5 linked regions of the Macaca mulatta genome follow. The main gene of each other region encodes a partner of the protein of the gene in region 4 in a complex. Links are inferred from orthologs where the notes say so. Each region holds a gene or a part of one and is shown on either strand. Other genes may lie near its edges.

The links. The genes of interacting proteins can lie anywhere in the genome.
Region 1: the proteins of GNAI1 (region 4) and RGS16 are in contact, whole or in part, in a crystal structure (PDB 2IK8), measured with the Homo sapiens proteins. The link is inferred for Macaca mulatta from reciprocal best matches to the Homo sapiens genes GNAI1 and RGS16. Residues at the interface, in NP_002060.4 of Homo sapiens: Val179, Lys180, Thr181, Thr182, Gly183, Ile184, Val185, Gln204, Ser206, Glu207, Lys209, Lys210, His213, Ala235, Glu236, Asp237, Glu238; in NP_002919.3 of Homo sapiens: Glu86, Phe87, Ser88, Glu90, Asn91, Ala126, Pro127, Glu129, Val130, Asn131, Ile132, Asp133, His134, Leu162, Lys165, Asp166, Ser167, Arg170.
Region 2: the proteins of GNAI1 (region 4) and FFAR1 are in contact, whole or in part, in a cryo-EM structure (PDB 9K1C), measured with the Homo sapiens proteins. The link is inferred for Macaca mulatta from reciprocal best matches to the Homo sapiens genes GNAI1 and FFAR1. Residues at the interface, in NP_002060.4 of Homo sapiens: Glu28, Ala31, Arg32, Leu194, Asp315, Thr316, Lys317, Glu318, Tyr320, Phe336, Thr340, Asp341, Ile343, Ile344, Lys345, Asn347, Leu348, Asp350, Cys351, Gly352, Leu353, Phe354; in NP_005294.1 of Homo sapiens: Arg37, Thr39, Pro40, Ser41, Leu100, Gly103, Arg104, Gly107, Ala108, Pro111, Leu112, Tyr114, Gln115, Arg118, Arg119, Cys205, Leu209, Ser212, Gly213, Leu214, Thr215, Arg217, Arg218, Arg221, Ala222, Val225, Ala226, Tyr278.
Region 3: the proteins of GNAI1 (region 4) and GPR17 are in contact, whole or in part, in a cryo-EM structure (PDB 7Y89), measured with the Homo sapiens proteins. The link is inferred for Macaca mulatta from reciprocal best matches to the Homo sapiens genes GNAI1 and GPR17. Residues at the interface, in NP_002060.4 of Homo sapiens: Glu28, Arg32, Lys192, Asp193, Leu194, Asp315, Thr316, Glu318, Tyr320, Phe336, Thr340, Asp341, Ile343, Ile344, Lys345, Asn347, Leu348, Lys349, Asp350, Cys351, Gly352, Leu353, Phe354; in NP_001154887.1 of Homo sapiens: Thr92, Ala94, Asp156, Arg157, Ala160, Ile161, Pro164, Val165, Leu168, Lys169, Arg171, Arg172, Pro173, Leu247, Leu251, Arg252, Val253, Glu254, Leu257, Lys260, Ala261, Met264, Ile265, Ala329, Glu330, Lys331.
Region 5: the proteins of GNAI1 (region 4) and MTNR1B are in contact, whole or in part, in a cryo-EM structure (PDB 7VH0), measured with the Homo sapiens proteins. The link is inferred for Macaca mulatta from reciprocal best matches to the Homo sapiens genes GNAI1 and MTNR1B. Residues at the interface, in NP_002060.4 of Homo sapiens: Arg24, Arg32, Glu318, Ile319, Tyr320, Phe334, Asp337, Ala338, Asp341, Ile344, Lys345, Asn347, Leu348, Lys349, Asp350, Cys351, Gly352, Leu353, Phe354; in NP_005950.1 of Homo sapiens: Arg138, Tyr141, Ile142, His149, Arg150, Arg154, Ile223, Val227, Ala230, Arg231, Lys233, Ala234, Lys235, Thr252, Met253, Asn312, Asn314.

What each region holds. Positions count from the first base shown.
Region 1 is NC_133406.1:40,066,430-40,070,388, forward strand, and holds the start of RGS16 (regulator of G-protein signaling 16), read right to left. Parts: upstream 2,801-3,959; 5' UTR 2,733-2,800; coding exon 2,689-2,732; intron 1,808-2,688; coding exon 1,697-1,807; intron 949-1,696; coding exon 884-948; intron 597-883; coding exon 430-596; intron 1-429. UniProt on the Homo sapiens protein: Regulates G protein-coupled receptor signaling cascades. Inhibits signal transduction by increasing the GTPase activity of G protein alpha subunits, thereby driving them into their inactive GDP-bound form.
Region 2 is NC_133424.1:46,625,733-46,629,930, reverse strand, and holds the start of FFAR1 (free fatty acid receptor 1), read right to left. Parts: upstream 2,801-4,198; 5' UTR 1,947-2,800; intron 1,070-1,946; 5' UTR 867-1,069; intron 654-866; 5' UTR 447-653; intron 90-446; 5' UTR 1-89.
Region 3 is NC_133417.1:9,632,012-9,636,166, reverse strand, and holds the start of GPR17 (uracil nucleotide/cysteinyl leukotriene receptor), read left to right. Parts: upstream 1-1,355; 5' UTR 1,356-1,544; intron 1,545-3,362; coding exon of another isoform or gene 3,363-3,689; exon of another isoform or gene 3,690-4,155. UniProt on the Homo sapiens protein: Dual specificity receptor for uracil nucleotides and cysteinyl leukotrienes (CysLTs). Signals through G(i) and inhibition of adenylyl cyclase. May mediate brain damage by nucleotides and CysLTs following ischemia.
Region 4 is NC_133408.1:139,270,389-139,273,888, forward strand, and holds part of GNAI1 (guanine nucleotide-binding protein G(i) subunit alpha-1), read right to left. Parts: intron 429-3,500; coding exon 238-428; 3' UTR 1-237. UniProt on the Homo sapiens protein: Guanine nucleotide-binding proteins (G proteins) function as transducers downstream of G protein-coupled receptors (GPCRs) in numerous signaling cascades.
Region 5 is NC_133419.1:93,824,639-93,828,682, reverse strand, and holds the start of MTNR1B (melatonin receptor type 1B), read right to left. Parts: upstream 2,801-4,044; coding exon 2,578-2,800; intron 1-2,577.

The DNA of each region.
Region 1 (3,959 bases), on a different chromosome or scaffold from region 4:
GCAGCTGCCATGCATAGTGGCCGGGAGGGAAGGTAGACAAAAAAATCACAGACTACAGACCTGCAGGCCTCAGGCAGGTCAGCCTGGGGACTGAGCCAGGTTATATAAGGTCCCTGTGCTGACCTTGTCTCCCCAGTTGGTAAGTGTTTTGAGCCTCTAAAAAGGGATGGATTTATAAAGATGGGTATGGATAGAAGCCGAAAAACCTGCCAATCCATCCTGCCCCATCATGAGTCATAGGGTTAAGCACCCAGGAGTGGCACTGAGCCCGGCTTTTCTAGTGTCTGGTCACAGAAGCCCATTCACCCCTGTGCCAAGTAAGGCCCTTCTACTTCTACACCTAGCCTTTCCTCCCCACTAGCCCTCACTCTCAGAGGGGAAGGAGCAGGCAGGGTCGTGAGGATTCACTGGGCATATGGGGGCTCTAACCTCTTTAGGGGCCTCGCTGCAGATGAACTCCTCAAAGATCCGGTGTGCCCTGGAGGCCCGCTTGGTAGCTGATTGGATCTTCTTGAACTCCTCACAGGCCAGCCAGAACTCCAGGTTCTCCTCACTGAACTCCGTCTTGAGGAAAGCGTGGAAAGCAGCCACTCCATCTGGGGTTACAGGAAAGAGGCGGAAACAGGTCAGCCAGAGGGACAGCAGGGAATACAAGAAGAAAGGAAAGCAATTGCACGTAATGGCTCTATTTTTAGAACATAATTTTCTTGAACAAGGACCTGCCTTTGTGTGTTGAATAGAGGCTGGCACACTAGGGGATCATTATTATTATTATTACTACTACTATTATTCTGCCCAGGCTCTCAGCAGTCCTGGAGCTGGTTCCAAAGCACATGAGTATACACGTGCCACCCAGAGACAGACACAAAAGGCTCCTACTCACTTTTACTGCTCAGCAGCAGGTCGAACGACTCTCTCCACCCCAGCACATCTTCTGAGAAGTTTCTACTAAAAGACAAAAAGAAAAAAAAAGAGTAAGAAAAAAAAATCAACAAACCAAAGCATAGTACAAATTCTAGCCAGAACTCTGATGGAAAATTGCGTAAAATTCACAGAAAGGCTTGCCTTGGTGATTGTTGAAGCTGACACCTCAAACTCCTAGTTGGACTTAGGGTAAGCAGTAATGTTTTCTAGAGGACAATTCGGCAACCAGAAATCAAAGCCAGGGACTCCTTTAGTCTTCAGTTAATATCTCTAAGCCTGTCTCTTCTCTGTCCAAAAATTATTTCAATTCCCCTGACTCTCAAAGATTTGTTTTGTACACCTTCCCAAGGACATAAGGGCCTCATAAATAGAGATTACATCTACACATAACTCCAGAGTTTGGTACAGTTGATAGCCAATATGAAAGGGTTTCTAGGCAAGGTGCATGCTAGAGTCATTAATAAAAACCTCAAGTGGCCTTGGACTCTGTCCTAGCCCTGGATGCATGTGCAATGAAACCCCAGGTGGGAGAGTCTGGTTAACTAGGCATTCATGCCCTGTGTGCCCTCATCCGTGGATAGACTTGGAGCCCTGGAGCCACCTACCCACTCACCCATGAGCCAAGTAGTCATAACAGACCAGCAACAAGTCTCACTAAAATCTCTAGGGAGGCGTTGCCAAGATCCACTTAGTGTGTCCTGGCTTCTCCTTATATTTCCCTCCTTCCCGCTCCCTTCCCTCTCGGAGCCCTGAGCTGGTCAGCAACACTTACTTCTCTTTGCCGTGTTTACTGCCCCACTCGAACTTGCCACTACTCCCAGTATCACAGCCCAGCTCTGATTTGTGAAGAAAGATCCCCAGACGTGTCTTGAACTCTTTGGCTCTGAAAAACAAATCAGGAACATGAAAGGATTCTCATTTGCTCAGCCAGTGTGGAGAGGTTTATGTGTCCCAGAAGAGCTCTGGGTGGTGCCACCCAAAGTTTAGCCTCAAGAGTTCCTGGAAACTCTTGGCTGTTCCCAGGACCCAAATTGTGCTTATCAGTATCATCAACCCCAAAGCAACAAAAGCAATGTTTGAGCTATGCCGTGGTAGACCTTACACTTTCTGGGTAATACACACGCTCATATATGGGCTTTTCCCTAAAGTCACACTGATCTCTCTTCGTGCCTGTTGATTCAGAAAAGAACTCAGCATTCTTTTCAGGAGTATTTCTGAACTGTGGGAAACTGATTCCTGCCTTCATCTTTACGTTTTCCTTCCCAGCCAGTAACGACTGGAAGCTGTTGAGTTGCTCTCTGGAATATGGACACACCCTCAACAGTGGGATCCCCCTGCCCCACCACACCCCACAAAAAAAAAAAAAAAAAAAAAAAAATCTCCCTGCCTTCCAGGGGCAGAGGAGGCAATGCCCCTAGCTCTGGTCTGAGGAATGAAAAACAAGTGCTTAAGCAATAGGCAGGCTCAGTTCTGCCTGGAAATGTCAACGTGGCCTTCCTGCAGCCAGGTCTTCAGCAGGTCACCTGAGCACGACTGCAGTTTGTCAGAGGATGGGGATGGCAGCAAGCAGCGGGCCCTTGCTTCCCTTCCCCTTGCTTTCTCCCTGCTCCTGGAATCTAAGCACGTGGCATCAGGTTCGCCTCTACCTCTCTACTTAAGCCTCCAGCGCCCCATCCCCGCGCCCACCCAGGTCCCCAGGCCTGCCGCTCCACTCCCTAAGAGTTGGTGGGACTTCCCGCAAGCAGTTGGACAAGCTCCCCTTACCTCTCCAGGCAGGTGGTGGGGAAGGCGGCCAGGGTACGGCACATGGCTGCGGGCGCGGGGCAGCACGTAGCCGGCAGGATGGTGGCAGGCTCCAGGAGGCTCCGCGAGCGCTAGGAAGCAAAGCGCGGTAGCAGGTGCTAATCAACTGGGGTTGGCTTTAGCAGCCTGCAAGCACCCAGACTTCGCGGCCGCTGCTTTAATCCCCTCGGAGGAACGGGGCTGGGCACTGCTGACCAATCGGAGGGCGGGGCTGGACACTGAGAAGGCGGAGGCGGGGCCCACAGCCAGACTGGGCCGGGCGCAACTTTCGCCGCAGCTGGAGCACGCGGAGCTGCACCCTCCCTCCGGAGGACGCCGCGTGTGGAAGGAGAAGCGGCAAGAGAATTGGCACGGGGATGAGACGTGCACACCCAGTTTCCTAGGGAAAAATACCTGCTGACCTCTAGTAACAACAGAAAACTCACGCAGCGGTGTCGTGTTGCAAGAGATTCCACGGGGCTGGTGGGTCTGAGAGGCACACAGGGCTTTGATCGCAGGTAAGTCTGAGCCTGCTGGGTCCTGAAGGACAGGCGCACAGGGTGCAAACCTGGCAAAACAGTTTCTTTTTTTTTTTTTTTTTTTTTTTTTTGAGACGGAGTCTCGCTCTGTCGCCCAGGCTGGAGTGCAGTGGCCGGATCTCAGCTCACTGTAAGCTCCGCCTCCCGGGTTCACGCCATTCTCCTGCCTCAGTCTCCCGAGTAGCTGGGACTACAGGCGCCCGCCACCTCGCCCGGCTAGTTTTTTATATTTTTTAGTAGAGATGGGGTTTCACCGTGTTAGCCAGGATGGTCTCGATCTCCTGACCTCGTGATCCGCCCGTCTCGGCCTCCCAAAGTGCTGGGATTACAGGCTTGAGCCACCGCGCCCGGCCAACAGTTTCTAATTATACTGATAAGTACCCTTTACGAGGCTCCTACCCCGATGGACATGGGGCTAAGTAAGATCTTCTTCTTCATCATCATCTCCATTTTATAGTTGAAGAAACCGAGAATCAGAAAGCTAAATAAACTTGCTCAAGATCACAGTTGGAGATGACAGACAAATGGGATAGGGATGAGTATTTTATTGAACACCTACTATGTGCCAGTCACATAACTAAGACTCATATTAAATAACTTGCTCAAAGATGTGCAGCTAGTAGGTGTTGGCTCCAAAATTCAAATGTGAATTTACCATTCTTTTTCCATTGCACCCTCCCCGCTCCCCCCTCTCCCCCGCTCCCCCCTCTCCCC
Region 2 (4,198 bases), on a different chromosome or scaffold from region 4:
ATAGGATGTGGCACAGATGTCCAAGCCGACTCCCCCAGGGTGCATGGCTGGGTGGTGCAGAGGAAGAAGGCTTCTCCACTTCTGAGACTCTGTGGGGAGAAGGGGTGGAGAGAATTCAGAACAGGGCTGGGCCCCACAGCCTGAGCCTTCCCTGGGAATGGGAGTTTGACTCCTGAGCCCACTGCCCTCCCCGGTTCCCTGGCAAGGCAAGAGCTGCTCCCCCACAGTGGAAAGACGGCAGGGCAGCAGGGAGGAGAAGGGTGTGGATGACGTGAGGGTGTGGCCAGGGGCAGGAAAAGGGGGTCCCCCAGGGAGAGCTCAAGGGTCAGCTGGGCCCCATCCATGTCATGGTTGAGCTTAGCAGTTCTCAGGGGCCACCTGGGCAGGGGTCTGGAGGTCTGGGGAACAGTTAGGTGAAGAGAGGAACCACAGAGAGAGGGACCCACCTCCTGGCACCGCCAGATGTCTGTGAGGCTCAGCAGTCCCCTCAGCGGGCTGATGGAGGATGCCCGGGATGAGCAGTGAGCCGGAAGGGGAGGAGGGCGGGTGGCAGGGCCATTAGCCTGAGGTTCTAGCAGCTTGGGTGAGCAGCTAATGGGGCATCCCGGCTGGAGGTGAGGCCACACCAGAGGAGGTGAGGGGCTGGGAAGATGCTGGAACACAGAGGGGCTAGGGAGGAATCGGGGTCCTGTCTGGGTAGGGACCGGGTGTGTAGCCAGTGCCTTGCAACAGCAGGGCTTGGGGGCTCGGCCACAACCCAGTGCTAGTCCCTCCCCGGCCCTCCTGCTTGTTTATACCCGCGCTGGGGCCAGGTCTGCTCCACCCTCGATGCACCCCTGGGCAGGCCCCGGGTCTCACTGGCTCACCTCTGACAACACAGGGTGCCCCGTGACCGCAGCCATGAAGCCATCTCCACGTGGCAGTGGGTGTGTGGGATAAGGAGTGATCACACCCAGGTGCAGCTCTGCACAGGTTGTGGGCTTGTTTTCGTTTTTGCAAGGAGGGGCCCCTCTGTTCTGCCTCTCCTTCCCCTCTAGTTCCAGGATGGTGACTTCTGACCTTTCCAGGGCTGGAGAAAGGAGCAGGAGGAGGAAGGCAAGGGATGGGGGCAGCCTCTGCTGGCTGGCACTGGAGGACCCAGGTTGTGGCCCCCACTTTGCCTGACAAGGGGTGGCACAAATGTCCAAGCTGACTCCCCCCAGGGTGCATGGCTGGGGACATTGGGGGGCACTCCCTGAGGCACAAGGAATGTGGCACCGGCCGGCTGTGTAACTTCCTTCTCTCAGCCCTGGGAATCCTCCCAGCCTTTCATGTTTCCCATTTGGGTCACCTGAGTCTCCCAGGAGGACCTAAGGAAGATTTCTAACCTCTCTGGATGCTCTCTCAGGTGTGCCCATGCCTGCTGGTGAGAAGCCAGCTCTGCTCTGTGATTCTGCCCCTGTCTCTCACTGTGCCCATGTCTCTGTCTGTCTGTCTGTCTGTTTCCTGCCTGAGAATGACAACACAGCCTCTCCACATCAGTTTTCTCAGGCATGTGTCGGTCACCTGACCACTCTGCCCCTTCCAAATTCCAGGTCTCCCATCATCAGCCTCTCTCTGTGTGGCCTCCTGGCAGCTCCAGTCACCAGGCTTCAGGGGGAACAGCAAGGGGGTCTCAGCCTGTCACTAACTCCCTCAAAGACACCATCTCACTGCTTTTCACACCTTGGAGTCACTAAATTGGTCCATGCTCTCCTTTTTCTCCCCCAGCGGGAGCCGCGCATGGGGTGTAGCACCCGCTGTGAGCAGAGAATCGGCCTCCTACTGTTCCGTCTGTTGTTGGGAACCGAGAAAGGGACAAAACCGAGGAAGAATCCAAAGCAGTGCCATTTCCCCTCCTATAGCAAAAGTGAAGCCCCGGGGACCTGTTGGGTTTTCCAGATCATCTCTGCTTTGGCTCCACCCACCTGGCGTCTGGATCTTTGCCCAAGGTCACCTCCTCCAAGGGCCTTCCCGGGTGCCTCAGCCACACTGATCCCTCCCGTGAATCTCACTTTTGTTGTCTGTCTTCAGTGCGACATCGTCTTGGCTGGCTCCTGAGCTAGAATGCCGGGCCTCCTGAGGGCAAAGGCTTTGGTCTGCTTTGTTTACTGCATGTTGCACAGCAGGTGTTTGGGAACCTAATTGCACGATCCATTATCTGGACCCTGGGAGGACGGTGAGAGCTGGGGTTGTGGAGGGCGGCGGCTTGCGTCTGGAGTCCTGGCCGCCCAGCTTCCTGGGCACCTGTTCTTCATGCTTCAGCAATGTCTATTGATGGCCACATCTCATGGTCAATCAGCCATGTAGTAGGTTTATGTCAGCAGCTGTGCTGAGGGACAGGGTGGGAAGGGGAAGACGCTCGATGGTTGCCAGGGAGCCTGAGCCAGGCCCTTCAGGCTTAGGACTGCCTCAGCTCCCTTCAGGGGGTCTTGCCTTAAAAACCCTTGGCAGCCCTAGACTACAGATCCCCAAGGTTGGTCCTATGCCTTATCTTTTTGGTGCCCTAACAACTGGCTCTGTACTGGGTGCATTTCCAGGTGCTCAGTATCTGTGTGCCGAGTAAATGAAAAAAGGGTTGAATGACATCAGACCTCATTTTGGGCACAGACACCCCAATACCCTCCCTGTCTCATTTAAACAGTTGTTGTTGTTGTTGTTGTTGTTTTGAGACGGACTCTTGCTCTGTCACCCAGGCTGGAGTGCAGTAGTGTGATCTCGGCTCACCGCAACCTCCACCTCCTGGGTTCAAGCGATTCTGCTGCCTCAGCCTCCCAAGTAGCTGAGATTACAGGTGGGAACCACCATGCCCGGCTAATTTTTGTATTTTTGGTAGAGAGAGGATTTTGCCATGTTGGCTAGGCTGGTCTTGAACTCCTGATCTCAGGTGATCCGCCTACCTCGGCTTCCCAGAGTGCTGGGATTACAGGCGTGATCCACCACGCCTGGCCTTTAAATAGTTCTTAAAGTCTCACCTGCCTCCAGAAAAGTTAATGGTGCTCATGAGAAATCAAACAAGGGACAAAGTGGATTGATGGGGAGATCAAGGCCTCCCTGCACCATAATTCCTAGAGTTACCATCCAGGTACTGAGCAGAGATGGGAGGGAAAGGAGGATGGGAAAGGAAGGTGGCAGTTTGGGGAAACCTGCCACATGCCAGGAGCCGATCTCCTTGATGGTCAGATAATCACACCCCTGCCCTCTAAGGAGAATGGGCCCCTTTGCCGAAGCAGGTGAATGGGTGGAGAAAGATCAAACCTGAGAAGCGAGAGGGGAGCTGGGGCACCTAACTGGAAAGTCTGAATCAGTGAAGAGAATTAGGGAACGGGTGCAGAGGACCTTGAACGACAGATAAGCTGTGAGGTTTCTCAGGGTGGCTGGTCTTCAGGACTTTCTCTGGCAGCTATGGGTTGTGCAAGAACTGAGTAGCGTCACTTTTGGGAAGAGCCGATTTGAACTGGCTTCCCCTTTTCACATTCTTCGAGAAATGCAAATAAAGGACGGGGGTTTGTTTTCTGGGGGACTTTCAGTTTCTGTGCTGGGTCTCAGTGTGGCTCCAGCATATATAAGACGATGCCTCACTTCCTATCGTGGGCCACCTGCGTGGTAGGCAGTGGTCTCTCCCTCTCCACTTTACAGATGGAGAAAACGAGGCTCAGGCAAGCTGGTGAACCCTGCCAAGATCACCGGGCTAGTTAAGCCAAAGAATCAAGATTCAAGCTCTCACGCTTGTCTGCCTGCAGAGCCAGTATGCTTTTCCTAACAAGACACCAGACTCTCTAATCTGCTGGTCTGATCACTAAACCACGGTGACTCCATTTCCTTCCCCCCAGGCCCCGTGAAGCCTTTCCCCTCTCCTCATCCCCACTCTGACTCCACAGACTGAAAAGCGTTCGCTGGTTCTTTGAAGTGGCATCTGAGCCATTTTTATTGTGAGCTCTGTCTCCATGGCATGTTAATCCATACCAGTGTGTCCGTCTCAAACCCGGAGTCCTTGGAGTCAAGGGGCTGCTGTTATGTACGCCTCCCTGTGCAATGCCTCACTTCCAGAGGGGAAGCCAGGCCAGAACCGGGCCCTTTCCTACTTCATTTCTGTCCTTTTCTGGGCTCTCCCCCAGAGGCAGAAACTGGGCATAGTATTTGTGACTGGGGATGTCAGATCAGGGGTAGGGGACCAGAG
Region 3 (4,155 bases), on a different chromosome or scaffold from region 4:
CTGCGCCCTGGCTCAGACACCTCGCACCCGGCTGGCTCAGACACCTCAACCTGCGCCCTGGCTCAGACACCTCAACCTGCGCCCTGGCTCAGACACCTCGCACCCAGCTGGCTCAGACACCTCAACCTGCGCCCTGGCTCAGACACCTCGCACCCAGCTGGCTCAGACACCTCTACCTGCGCACTGGCCCAGACACCTCGCACCCGGCTGGCTCTCAGGCCAGACAGACTGGGAAGCCCATCTCTCTCGTAGGAAGTCCAGATGGGAAACAGCTTCTCGACAGACCACATCACAGCACCAGATCTAACGGTGACCTTCAGAATTATTTTTCAGATTGAATTAGGATCGAATCTAAGAATTCTAAATTCAAAATGCAGCAGAAAAACAAAACACACACACACGAAGCCTAAGTTCTGGAGGGACACGCCCTTGGGTTCAAATCCTGGCTCTGTCGCTTCCTACTGTTGGCTGATGGGTGAGTTTCTTCATGTGCTTGAGCCTCAGTTTCCTTGTCTGTGAAATGGGGCAATAATCCCAGCTGCACGGGGTGATGCAAAGAGACAAATTTAAGATACGGCCCCCGAAATGCTAGCCACATACATACAGTTTTCAATGTTTAAACAACAAAATGTAAAGTCTTTTGAAACCAGGAAAGGCGATTTGGCTTCCCATGTTGCTGGATGTATCATTTTTAGAAAGACAGAAACGAACTTTGTTCACTCAGTCTCAGAGGCGGCCGCCGGCAGCACTCAAAGGCACCCCAGCCGGGAGCCAGGCCAGGGAGGAGCCCCGTGGCCAGCTTTCGGATTCACGGGCTCCCGTGCCGAAGGGGAGCTGCACCGGCGGGCACCCGGCCTCTGAGCTGAGCCGCATCCCCACGGGCAGGACAGCGCCCCATTATGAGGCTCCTGCAGCTGTGCCTCGCTCCAGATAAAGGCCATGATTTATTCGGCATGCCCAAATGGGGCCTCATTATACGGGGCAGGACACAAGGACCCTACAGCAAGTGTCCTCAAAGAGTCGCCTCTCACTCAGTGAGCAATCCTCCTCGGACTCCCACCCTCCGATCACAGGCCCCCTCCGCTGTCTGCGGGCGCAGGCCTGAGAGCGCCGCCTGTTGCCATGGCAGCCGGCCCCTCCCTGCCCCCCATCAGTAGGAAATCATCCCCTTCTGAAACGTCCTGTTGTGTCCCTCAGCTCCAGCCTAAGCCCCCCAGCCAGCCCCCGCCTGCTCTGAGTCTGAGACAGTCACACACTCAGCCTCTGTGGCCAAGCTGGGGGCGGGGGGCACGGGCTAGGGACACACTAGAATATTCACGCTCTGGTGGCAGCAGCCGCAGCCAGAGGAGCGGCCGCCACACAAGGAACCCCTCAGGAATGAAGCAGCCTTTCAGGGCCAGAGGGGCTGTGGTCTCCCTTCTTCCCTTAAATAGCCAGCGTTCCACCCACAGCGGCACAGAGCCCTCTGCCACCGACACCCACGGGCGGAGATCACCTGCTGCCCCACAGACCCCTGCCCCTTCCTCCTGGACCAGCGGCTAGAGGTAAGGGGCAGGCCGGGTGCGGCGGGCTGGGAGCCCAGGACTAAGCAGAGGAAACACTCAGCGGGGAACCCTGCCCAGGGAGACGGGCAGCAGCCTGTCTCGTGCCATGTCTTTGGTGATGGTCTGACCTGTGCATTGAAGGCTGACCCATCTGAATTCACAGCAGCCCACAAAGCGGTGTTTTGTCCCGCTGATGGGGGCTTGCAGAGGGGAAGTGGCTTGCCCGCAGTCCAGGCTGCAATGGCAGCACCCCTGCCCCTAACCATGAGACAGCCTTGACCCATACGGGAGCCAGATGCCTGGGAGAGGGTTCAGGCCAGGGATGGACTGGCACTAGTGCAAAGGTAACTGCCACCACCTGGCCATGGCAGCTGCTACCACAGGCCCTCCCTGAGGCCACGCGTGCCCACCCGCCACCTCCACAGAGGCCTGAGACCTGTCCTAGACGCTCAGCTCACCCACAGCCATGGGACCCAACTCTGCCCAGGCCCTGGCCCGTTCCACGCCCCTTCCTCTTAGGAACACCCGCTCAGTGGCCATCTGAGCAGTGAGCCGTGAGGAACCAGTGAGTCTAGGCTGAAGTTCGTTTCTAAAGGGCAATGGAGAGTGAAACAGGGCCCATCTCAGACCAAGCTGCAGCAACCAGTATCAGAACTCCTCAAACGAGGGACAGAAAGGGAGGAGAAACCTCAGCAAACCTGAAACGAACCAGGAAGCGGTTTAAGATGGAGTGAGTCTCAGTCCCAGAGAGGGCGAGGTGGACGCCCTTCGGCCGGGGCAGGAAGCGGAGGGCAGTGCCCAGGCTGAGACTCCAGGGCTGGAGGCAGGAGGCACCACAGGCCCACCTAGTGCCATGAGATATGCTAGCCCTGCTGTCACTCAGGGCCCCAAGCCCAGTAACACTCTGTTGTCACTGTCTTGAAACTCTTCCTTTTTGAGCAAGGGGCTGCACATTCTCATTCCACACGCGGGCCCCTAAAATTAGGGAGTGGTCCCAGGGCCGGGAGGAGGTGCTGAGCCTGGGAGACAACTCCATGGCAAGCTCTGAGACCGAGTCACACTCCTGCCCTGGCCGAGGCGCCCTGGCAGTCTCCAGAGGCAAGGCAGTCCCCTGGGGGACCAGGGTTTCCCTGGTCTTACTTCCAGCTCCAGGGCCAATGTCCCCTGGTCAAGTGACCTAGGGCAAGTTAGCAGACACTCAGCCTTGATTCCCTAATCTGTAAAATGGGGCTAAAACTGGTTTGAGCCAGCACAGGCAGGCCCCCACCATGCCAGGCAGAGTGGTCAGTCGTACCTATGAGCTGCTCTCTCCTGGGGCCAGGTGATACCTGCACAGTGGGGCACAGTACAGGCCCGAGGGACAGTCTAGGGTGGTGGGCACCCACCTTGGCCCCTTCCCACCCCCAGGTTCTAACAAGGATCCCTCACTCACTGAGCCCTCTCTCCTCTTCCAGTCTCCAGGGCCTCCCCGCACACACCTTGCTCCTCTCCTGCCAACCTGAAAACAGCACACCTGTGTGCCCCTCCCATCTACCATGGGCTGTCCTCTCTGCCTGCCCGTGCACCTGCCCTGGAGCCCTGTTCCTCCAGTCTCTGGGTCCTCACCCCCAGCACGTGCAACACGACACCCTCAAAGTCACAGCCCCCCCACCCCCGCCATCCCATGGCACCTGCTCCCTGTCCTCCCCTGCCTCACAGGCCCTGTCAAGGGCTGTGTCCCTCCCTCCTTTTACCTCTCCTCCACAGCCCCCTTCAGAGCCCTCAGCCCTTCCCCAGGGCTCCAGCCAAGCCTGTCTCCCTCTCCCGAGGATCACTCACCCCGCCTTCGGCCCTCAGCTCTCCGCCCGCACCGCACTGTGGTTTTTGCAGTCCTAGGGAAAGTGCCAGCCGAGACCATCCAGCCCAAGTCAGAGGACTGTGAAACCTGGATTCCTGGGGAATGGGATCCCCGTGAGGAACTCCACATGGGACTAAGAACAGACCCTGTTCCTGGAAGTGGCAGGAAACCATCTCTGGTGTTAGAACTTCAGGCATCTTCAAACACTCTGAAGCCAGGGGAATCTTTTCAGGTAGGGGAACCTGCCTAGAGAGATAGCTAAAAGGTAATATTATTAGGCAGTTGCCCTCCCCTTTGCTTGAGGACATTGATGGCCAGGTGCTTGGGCCAGCCCTCACGCTCCATGTGAGGGCCACAGCAGCTGGCCGCTCGCTCTCCTGAGGAAGGGTACGGCCTGCCCTTCCCTAGGGCTAGGGCCACCACCGTGCATGCTTCTCCTCTATGTGAGGATGGCTCCAGCCTCCTCCTCGAGCAGCTGCTGTGCCCGTGAACAGTCATCATGCCCTCTCTGCCCCATGCCACCAGCATCCTGAGACAGCCCTGTGGAGTAAGAGGAGAGGGGCTGGGCGCAGTGACTCATGCCTGTAATCCAAACAGTTTGGGAGGCCAAGGAGGGAGGATCACTTGAACCCAGGAGTTTGAGACCAGCCTGGGCAACATGGCAAAACCCCATCTCTACCAAAAAATACAAAAATTAGCCAGGCGTGGTGGTGTGTGCCTGTAGTTCCAGCTACTCAGGAGGCTGAGGTGGGAGGATCACTTGAGCCCTGGGGG
Region 4 (3,500 bases):
ACTAGAGCCCAGCTTTAACACTGTCCTTCAGTTTCACACTGCAGGACCATCTGTCACATTTAAGAAAGGTCCTTCTGTTACTTTCAGTTAAAAAAACAAAACAGAACAACTTTGGTCAGGTCCCAGATGCATTTGCCTTATATTACATTCTGTGTTGCTGCAAGACTCTAGTCTACAGAGATCCATATATAAGTACTCATTTGGTTTGAAAATGCATTTTACCATTAACTGCAAAACTTAGAAGAGACCACAATCTTTTAGATTATTTTTTATGATGACATCTGTTACAGCATCAAAAACAAACTGCACATTCTTAGTATCTGTGGCACATGTGAAGTGGGTGTATATTTCCTTTGTGTCCTTTCTTTTATTGAGGTCTTCAAACTGACATTGAATATATGCAGCTGCCTCTTCATATGTGTTTGATCCTGAGATGGAAAAAGGAAAGAAATATAATGTAGAAAGTTAAAATAACTGCTTAAAATACTGAAGTCAGTTTCATACAGCTTCATTCATGGACTCCTTAACTGTGCTTTCCCTTCTAGAATGGGAGACACTATTTCTTCTACATGAAAAACACTCCATGTTAATTACCTTTAATGACTGTAAGTTATCCCTAAAATTAAACAAAAAATTTCCTCTACATGGCATTCCGTGTTCATCATGATCTTTGTTCCTGCCTCAATCTCCAAAGGCTAGATCTTTTATCCTCTTATCTTCTGTCCTCTACACCCCAACTCAGATGCTTGATGACGGCATGCTATTTCAGTTCTGGCTCAACGGTGGATCAAAAAATGTTGGCTGAATGCTGATCAGTATTTTTTCCTCCCTTTTCTATATATACATTAATTAGCATTCTTCACTCATTTTTCTTTATTCAAAAATTGTACCAAGGTCTACAATGATGTTTAGGAGTATGAGGTTACAAAAAAAGTGAATGACACACTCCAGCTTTCAGGTTACTGACTAAAAAAGACTCCCTCTGAGTACAAACACTCCAGAAATTGTTTGGCAATATCTAAAGATAATCACACACACACTCTGACCCCGCAATTCAGTTTCTAGATATACACTTGACAGAACTGTGTATCACTGAAGACACAGAAGAAGTGAGAATGAAAGTACTACTGCTATACTCAATAACTGAGTTCACTCATAAGTGAACTATTGAGCAAAAGCAGCTAGATGCAAAAAGATCATATACTGTATGATACAACACTGTTTGAAAAATGAATTGGTGAGGACAAAAGTCTCACCAATTAATAGAGTCTGTGGCACATGTGAAGTGGGTATATATTTCCTTTGTGTCCGTTCTTTTATTAAGGTCTTCAGTGATTATCAGTGAGTAATCAGTGATTACTCTGTGTATGGGATGTGAGTGTGTACGTGTGTGTTGCGGGGAGGTTTTGATTGGTTAAGACTCGGAGGAAGCATGATGGGACTTTCAGGGGTCTTGAAACTGTTTGGTTTCTTGACCTGAGTGGTGGATACTGGTATGTTCACCTTTAAAAATGCACTTATGCTGAGGGTGTGTGTGTACATATGTACGTACATAATATACATAATGTATACAATGTAATGCTATATGTAATGCTTCAATAAAAAAAATTAATCATCCAAAATTATCTGCCAGGCTTTCAAGGTCTTCTACTATCCAGCCTGCTCTGCAGTGCCATCATTCTGAGATCCTCTCCTCCACACTGGTGCTCAACCCAGGTCCATGTCATGAGGACCCAACATGCAAACTGCCACCTGTGGTACTGCAGTACTTCCTCTTCATTCTACTTTACCGGCTGAGATCTCTGCCTGCCTTCACATTTGCTCAAAATTGGCACTCCATCTAACTTTTCCTAATTAATCAAATCTAGCTGGGTTCTCTATCACTTAAAAACTTTTGTCTCCTCCTAGAAATAACTATTTCAGTTTTTGTTATACTGCTTTAAAGTCTTAAATTCTTTTTCAGTGTTGAGTCTCCTAAACTAGAATGTGAACTCCTCAAGAGTAAACATCACACCCCACCAGCCCCATACTCCTTTTATATCTTACAGAATCCAGTATAATACAATGTGACAAATGCCCATAGGAATGTTGTGTAATGTGCTATGATACAGATTATGAGATTTTTATTAGGGATAAAAAGGTAATAAAGTTATTGTCTTTAAGTTTACATTTTAACTATTTTATATCACTAGAAATCACATACTTTAAAAAATCAAATTTTATTAAATCCTAAGTTTCGTTCTCCAAAATTTTAAAGCAATTAACAGCATCTTGTTGGCCCACAGAAGCTAATGCAACTGCTAAATTAAAATATATTTCAGCCAAACAGCTTACATTGAGTGCCTACCTCAATTTGCTCTACATATCCTAGGCAGCTAGCTAGATTACCCTCAAAGTACAAACACATATGAATGAACATTCTTCATTCTGATTTTAAGTCTTAAGAAAAGAATGGCAATGCAGGGACACGAGAGCAAATATGGTATTTTTTTTTATGTGAGATAGAATTATCCTGAACAAAGGTAAGCACAGGTGATAACCAGGTTCAAAAATGAAGAACTGGGAGGCTGATGACACAATCAAAAAGGAAAGAGAAGAGATCTGCGTTTAAACAAGAAGAGGAGTTCTGTTTGAGCTTCGGGTGCTAAAAAACCAACCAACCAACCAAACAAACAACAAAAAAACATGTATGTTCAAGCAGTTGGTAATGCAAATCTAAGGCTCCAGAGATAAATTAGGGCTGACCATAAAATTTAACCTATTGAGAATAGCTATGACTACGAAAGGATAGAGAGCTAAGATGACATGACTGCAGATGAAACTGGTAAAGTGGCAACATACAGTAAAAAGAAGAGGAGGAGAAGGATGACACATGAGCAGACAGACAGGAGATAAATCAAGCAAGTTGCTTAGGCGCTACACAGGGTTCTTCCATAGCCATAGGAAATTGAGAGTTGCGGCTGAAGCAAGAAGCAACTGAATCAATACTTAGGGCATGCCATGGAGATCTTAAATAATAATCTTAACTCTGGAGATGTGAAAGAATTATGTAATATTCTTTTTGTGCAAAGATTCTGAAGTCAGGGATTATTAAGCAAAACACAAGCAAAAATTCCTAAACACACTGTCTACTTGGCAAGGAAAGAGCTAACAAGTATATTCTTAGTTCTTCTGAAATCCCTGTAGCTATACAATATTTATGGATTCATTTGGGGCTCTGGTACTATGAATTAATACAAAATGGCTACATCATAGAATATGATAAAAATAAACTAAAAAATATATTCAAATAAGGGAAAAAATAAGCCATCTTGACTCTGGATAACTTATTTCTAATAAGCACAAAAAAATGTTCCTGAACACAGTGATTCAGGACTATGACTTCCAAAAAGAAAGCAAAGTTTTAAAGTAACTGTGTGAAATTAGTTTGAACTGAAGTATAATTTCACAGTACGCAAAAAGAGCTATAACAATTAACATGATTATATTTACCAAAGAAC
Region 5 (4,044 bases), on a different chromosome or scaffold from region 4:
GTCTGCCTTTCTCTAGTGCTATCTCTGAAGTCAACCCACCACATACAGCAACCGAAGCCGCAGATAGGATATCCCTGAAAAAAAGGACAATTAATGTAACCACTCACCCTGCCATCAGGAGCGACACTGTTAGGGATGATACAGAGCTGCTCCGCAGAGGATGGGTTTGTGATAGGCAAGTAAAGGATACTGGTGTCTCCTGGGAAACATGCTGTGATCTCAATATGGGCTCTGCATCTTGGTTATCGGAAATATATGTATTCTCATTGTCACAGACTTAAGTTATTAATACCAATGATTTAAGGAGCCAGACTTCAGTATGGAAAGGACTGAAGAAACGTTTCTTAAAGTAAATCCAAACTCTTCAGTAAGACAAGGCCTGATTAAGAGTAGAATGGGTGCTGTAGGTTTTAAGTACCTTTTGAAATCTCACTCTGCTGAGATCATTTAGTTCAAGTCAGTACTACAATTGTTTGTGACTATCACCAATAAAGCCAGTGGTCACATAAGAACTGGTTAAATTGCAACACTGTAGCAGTGGCAGGAATTGATGTCATTTAGATATAGTGTTATTTATTTATTTATTTTTCCGGTGCTGGGCTGTAGCAGACACATCGGGAGGTAGGAAAGATAGAAGAGAGGATATGCCAGCAATTGAACATGCTCATGACCCTCCCCAGTGACGCTCTCAAATTGGGAAGGATTCTGTAGACCCTGCCAGGATCACAGAAAAGCCCAGCCCTTTGTAGGAGGCAGTGGGGGAGGGGTGCTTTTCTCCTTCCAGCAAAAGGAAGCAACTCCTACTTCCCTCAACCACCTTTCTCACGGTGGGCAATCCAAATTACTGAGTAGGGAGCCACGGCCTGACAGACCTGCTCTAAATACTCAATAAGTCAGGGACAGAAGGGGCCAATGTCAGAACCAGGAGGGCCGATTTCTCCCCCACAGAGCCAGGAGTTGTCTCCCTTTTGCCTCCCTGTTCAGGGAATGAATGTTTATGATGGCTGCAAGGGACAATGTCTCAAAAATATTAAATGCAGTTTTCTAATCATAACCTGTTCTTCCCTAATATATAAGCTTTTCTTCAAAGGACACAATATTTTGAACAATGTATTCCAGAAAACAGCCACCACTACCGAAGTGGCTGAGTTAGAAAGCTTACTTCTTCTTCATAATGTTATGTTTCCCATTTGATGGCTGGATACTCACCGTTGGAGCAGTTTCTTGTTTGTTTTTTTAGATAAAAATCCTAGAGTCAGCCGGACGCGGTGGCTCATGCCTGTAATCCCAGCACTTTGGGAGGCTGAGGCGGGTGGATCACTTGATTTAGGTCAGGAGTTTGAGACCAGCCTGGCCAACATGGTGAAACCCTGTCTCTACCAAAAACATAAAAAATTACCCGGGTGTAGTGGCACACACCTGTAATCTCAGCTGCTTATGACCCTGAGGCAGGAGAATCCCCTGAACCTGGGAGACGGAGGTTGCAGTGAGCCTAGACTGTGCCACTGCACTCCAGCCTGGGTGACAGAGCGAGAGACTCCATCTCAAAAAAAAAAAAAAAGAAAAAAAGAAAAAATTCTAGAGTCACAGACCACACCAAATAGATATTACCATTTGCTAAAAATGGTCTGACTCCTTAAAAAAGCATTTTTAAGCTATACAATTGTTTTTCTGCTGCTATCTTTCCATTTTAATTCACTCTAATATTTGAATTTGCCCCCAAGGCCCAACTTGAGAGACTGCAAAATTAACAGGTCACCGAGCTCCCTCCTAGGCTGAAATGGTCAGCATGCCCCATGACCTGTGAGGGTGAGAGTTCAGACACCGACCCCTCCTCCCGCACTCTGGTTTTCTTTCTTTGAAGACCTGACTAGGGGAATATTGAAACGAGAGTGAATTGAAATAGGAGAAATATTTTCAGGTTTGCAACACGATTTAGCCAAACCATTGCTTTAATTTTCACAGTTAATCCCAGGAATTCCCAGTCTTCAGAAAAGACTACAATATTTCAAAGCAATTTAGTGCAGTCCAAGCAGAATCTGCAATTTCTGCATTTACACTCTGTCCACTGGAATTGGGTCTTCAGATGACCTGGAGATAAGTTTTTGACACAAAACCTACTGAAATGCTTCCATTGATTAACTCATTTTTTCAGCAAGGATTTTCTAAGCAACTACTACATAAAGCTACAGTGCTTGGCAAGGAAGGAAGTGGGGTGTCAAGCACAAGTGGTGTTCTGTGGCCTGATGTGGGCACCTCTGGAAAGGCACACATTGGAGCGCGACGGGTAGCGATGGCATCCAGCAGCGTGGGTTCCCACAGCGCCAAAAAGCGCGCCAGTAAAACTTTCCGTAATTCCCTCTGTGCCAAGTGCATCCTGGGCAGTCGCATTTCGGAGGGGCAGAACTCACCCTAACTTTTGAGTGCAGAGTCAAACTTAGGGACTAGGTTAGAGTGAAGGGAAAGGGGAGCCCGGGCTGAGGAGGGAAAAGGCAGCGCATATCCCGGGGTCAGGGACAAGACCAGAGGACAAGGAAGGGCCCGACCCCAGCACCCAGCATCAGGAATGGTGCTCACCTGCGTTTCGGAGCTTGCGGTTCCTGAGCACGGAAAGGATCACCAGGAGGTTGCCCACAACGTCCACGGCGGTGGTGACGATGAGCACCACGGATAGCGCGGGAGCCACCCAAGGAGGTCGAGGGGTCCTGGAGGGTTGCCCCCTGCCAGTACCCAACCAGCCTGGGCGCACTGCCCACCCGCCGGCTTCGCAGCAATTGGCGAAGGAGCCGTTATCTGACATTGCAGACTCTCCCGCGCTGCGCTTTGGCCACCGCGCGGCCTCGGACAGCCGCAGGGCTCGCGCAGTACTGAGCCGGGCGCTCCCTTCCCTGTCCAGCTCCCGTGTGCAAGGGAGGAGGCCAGTGGGGAGGGGTCTGGAGGAGATAACTAATTAAGCGTGGGCAGGGGATGGAGAAAAATATAGGAATGGGAGGAGGACTTGGGGTGCAACCGTTGCAGAAAGGAGTGCGTCCCTCAGCGGTGCGCTCAGGAACAGCTGGGACCACACAGCTGTCTCTGCCACCCCGCCCCCAGCACGTGCCTAGCTCATCTCAGGCCGCGGAGCACGTCTAGCCTCTGTTCCTCGGTACACAACTACACCCGAGACCCCGATTTCCTCTACAGCGTCCCCAAGAGAAGCTGTGTCCAGCTAGGAACATCCAACCCAGGTTTATAGACTGGAGAAGGTGCTGATGGTCGGGACCTCCCAGTTGTCAAGCAAGGCAAGGTTTGAGGTCCCACAGGGCTGTGCAGCTCGAAAGAGAATGCAGCTCCTAAGATGTGGGGACAGAGCCCAGAACAAAGTAGTGTAGACTTGTATTCTAGGGAGCTGCAGAAAAATAGGAACCTAGCCATTTTCCGAGCACTCGCTGGGTATTGCAGGGGACATTAGTGATGTCTCTACTTGGTCCTCTTTATAAAGCCAATATTTTAGTATATTTACCAATATATATTTACACATAATACTTAAATAGATGTATGGCCAATATTGGGGGTTGTGATGTGGTTTTTGGAGGGGTTAGGACAAGAAAAAGAGTGAGGCATGATTACAATAAAGAAGGAACTCGGGTGCCCTTTATTAAAAGTGCTTGAGTCGTGATCTGGTGATAATAATAATAGATAACTTCTCTTGGGGGATAATCTTATGCCAAGTTTGTCCTAAGCACTTTTCACACCCACTAGAATCACTAAAATCAAAATGACTGATTATCCTAAATTTGTGGAGGAATTTAAGCAACCAGAACTCTCATACAGTGCTTTTATGAGAATGCAAAATGGTACAACCACTTTGAAGAGCTGTCTGTTAGCTCCTAATAAAGTTAAACATACACCTATTCTATGACCAGAAGTTCCAAATGAAAAGGAAATATATTTCCACAAAAAGACGTGCACAAGAACGTCCAGAGCAGCCTTGTTTATAGGAGCTCAAATCTGGAAACAGCCACAATTTCCATCAACAGAAGAAAGGATAAACAAATTGTGGTA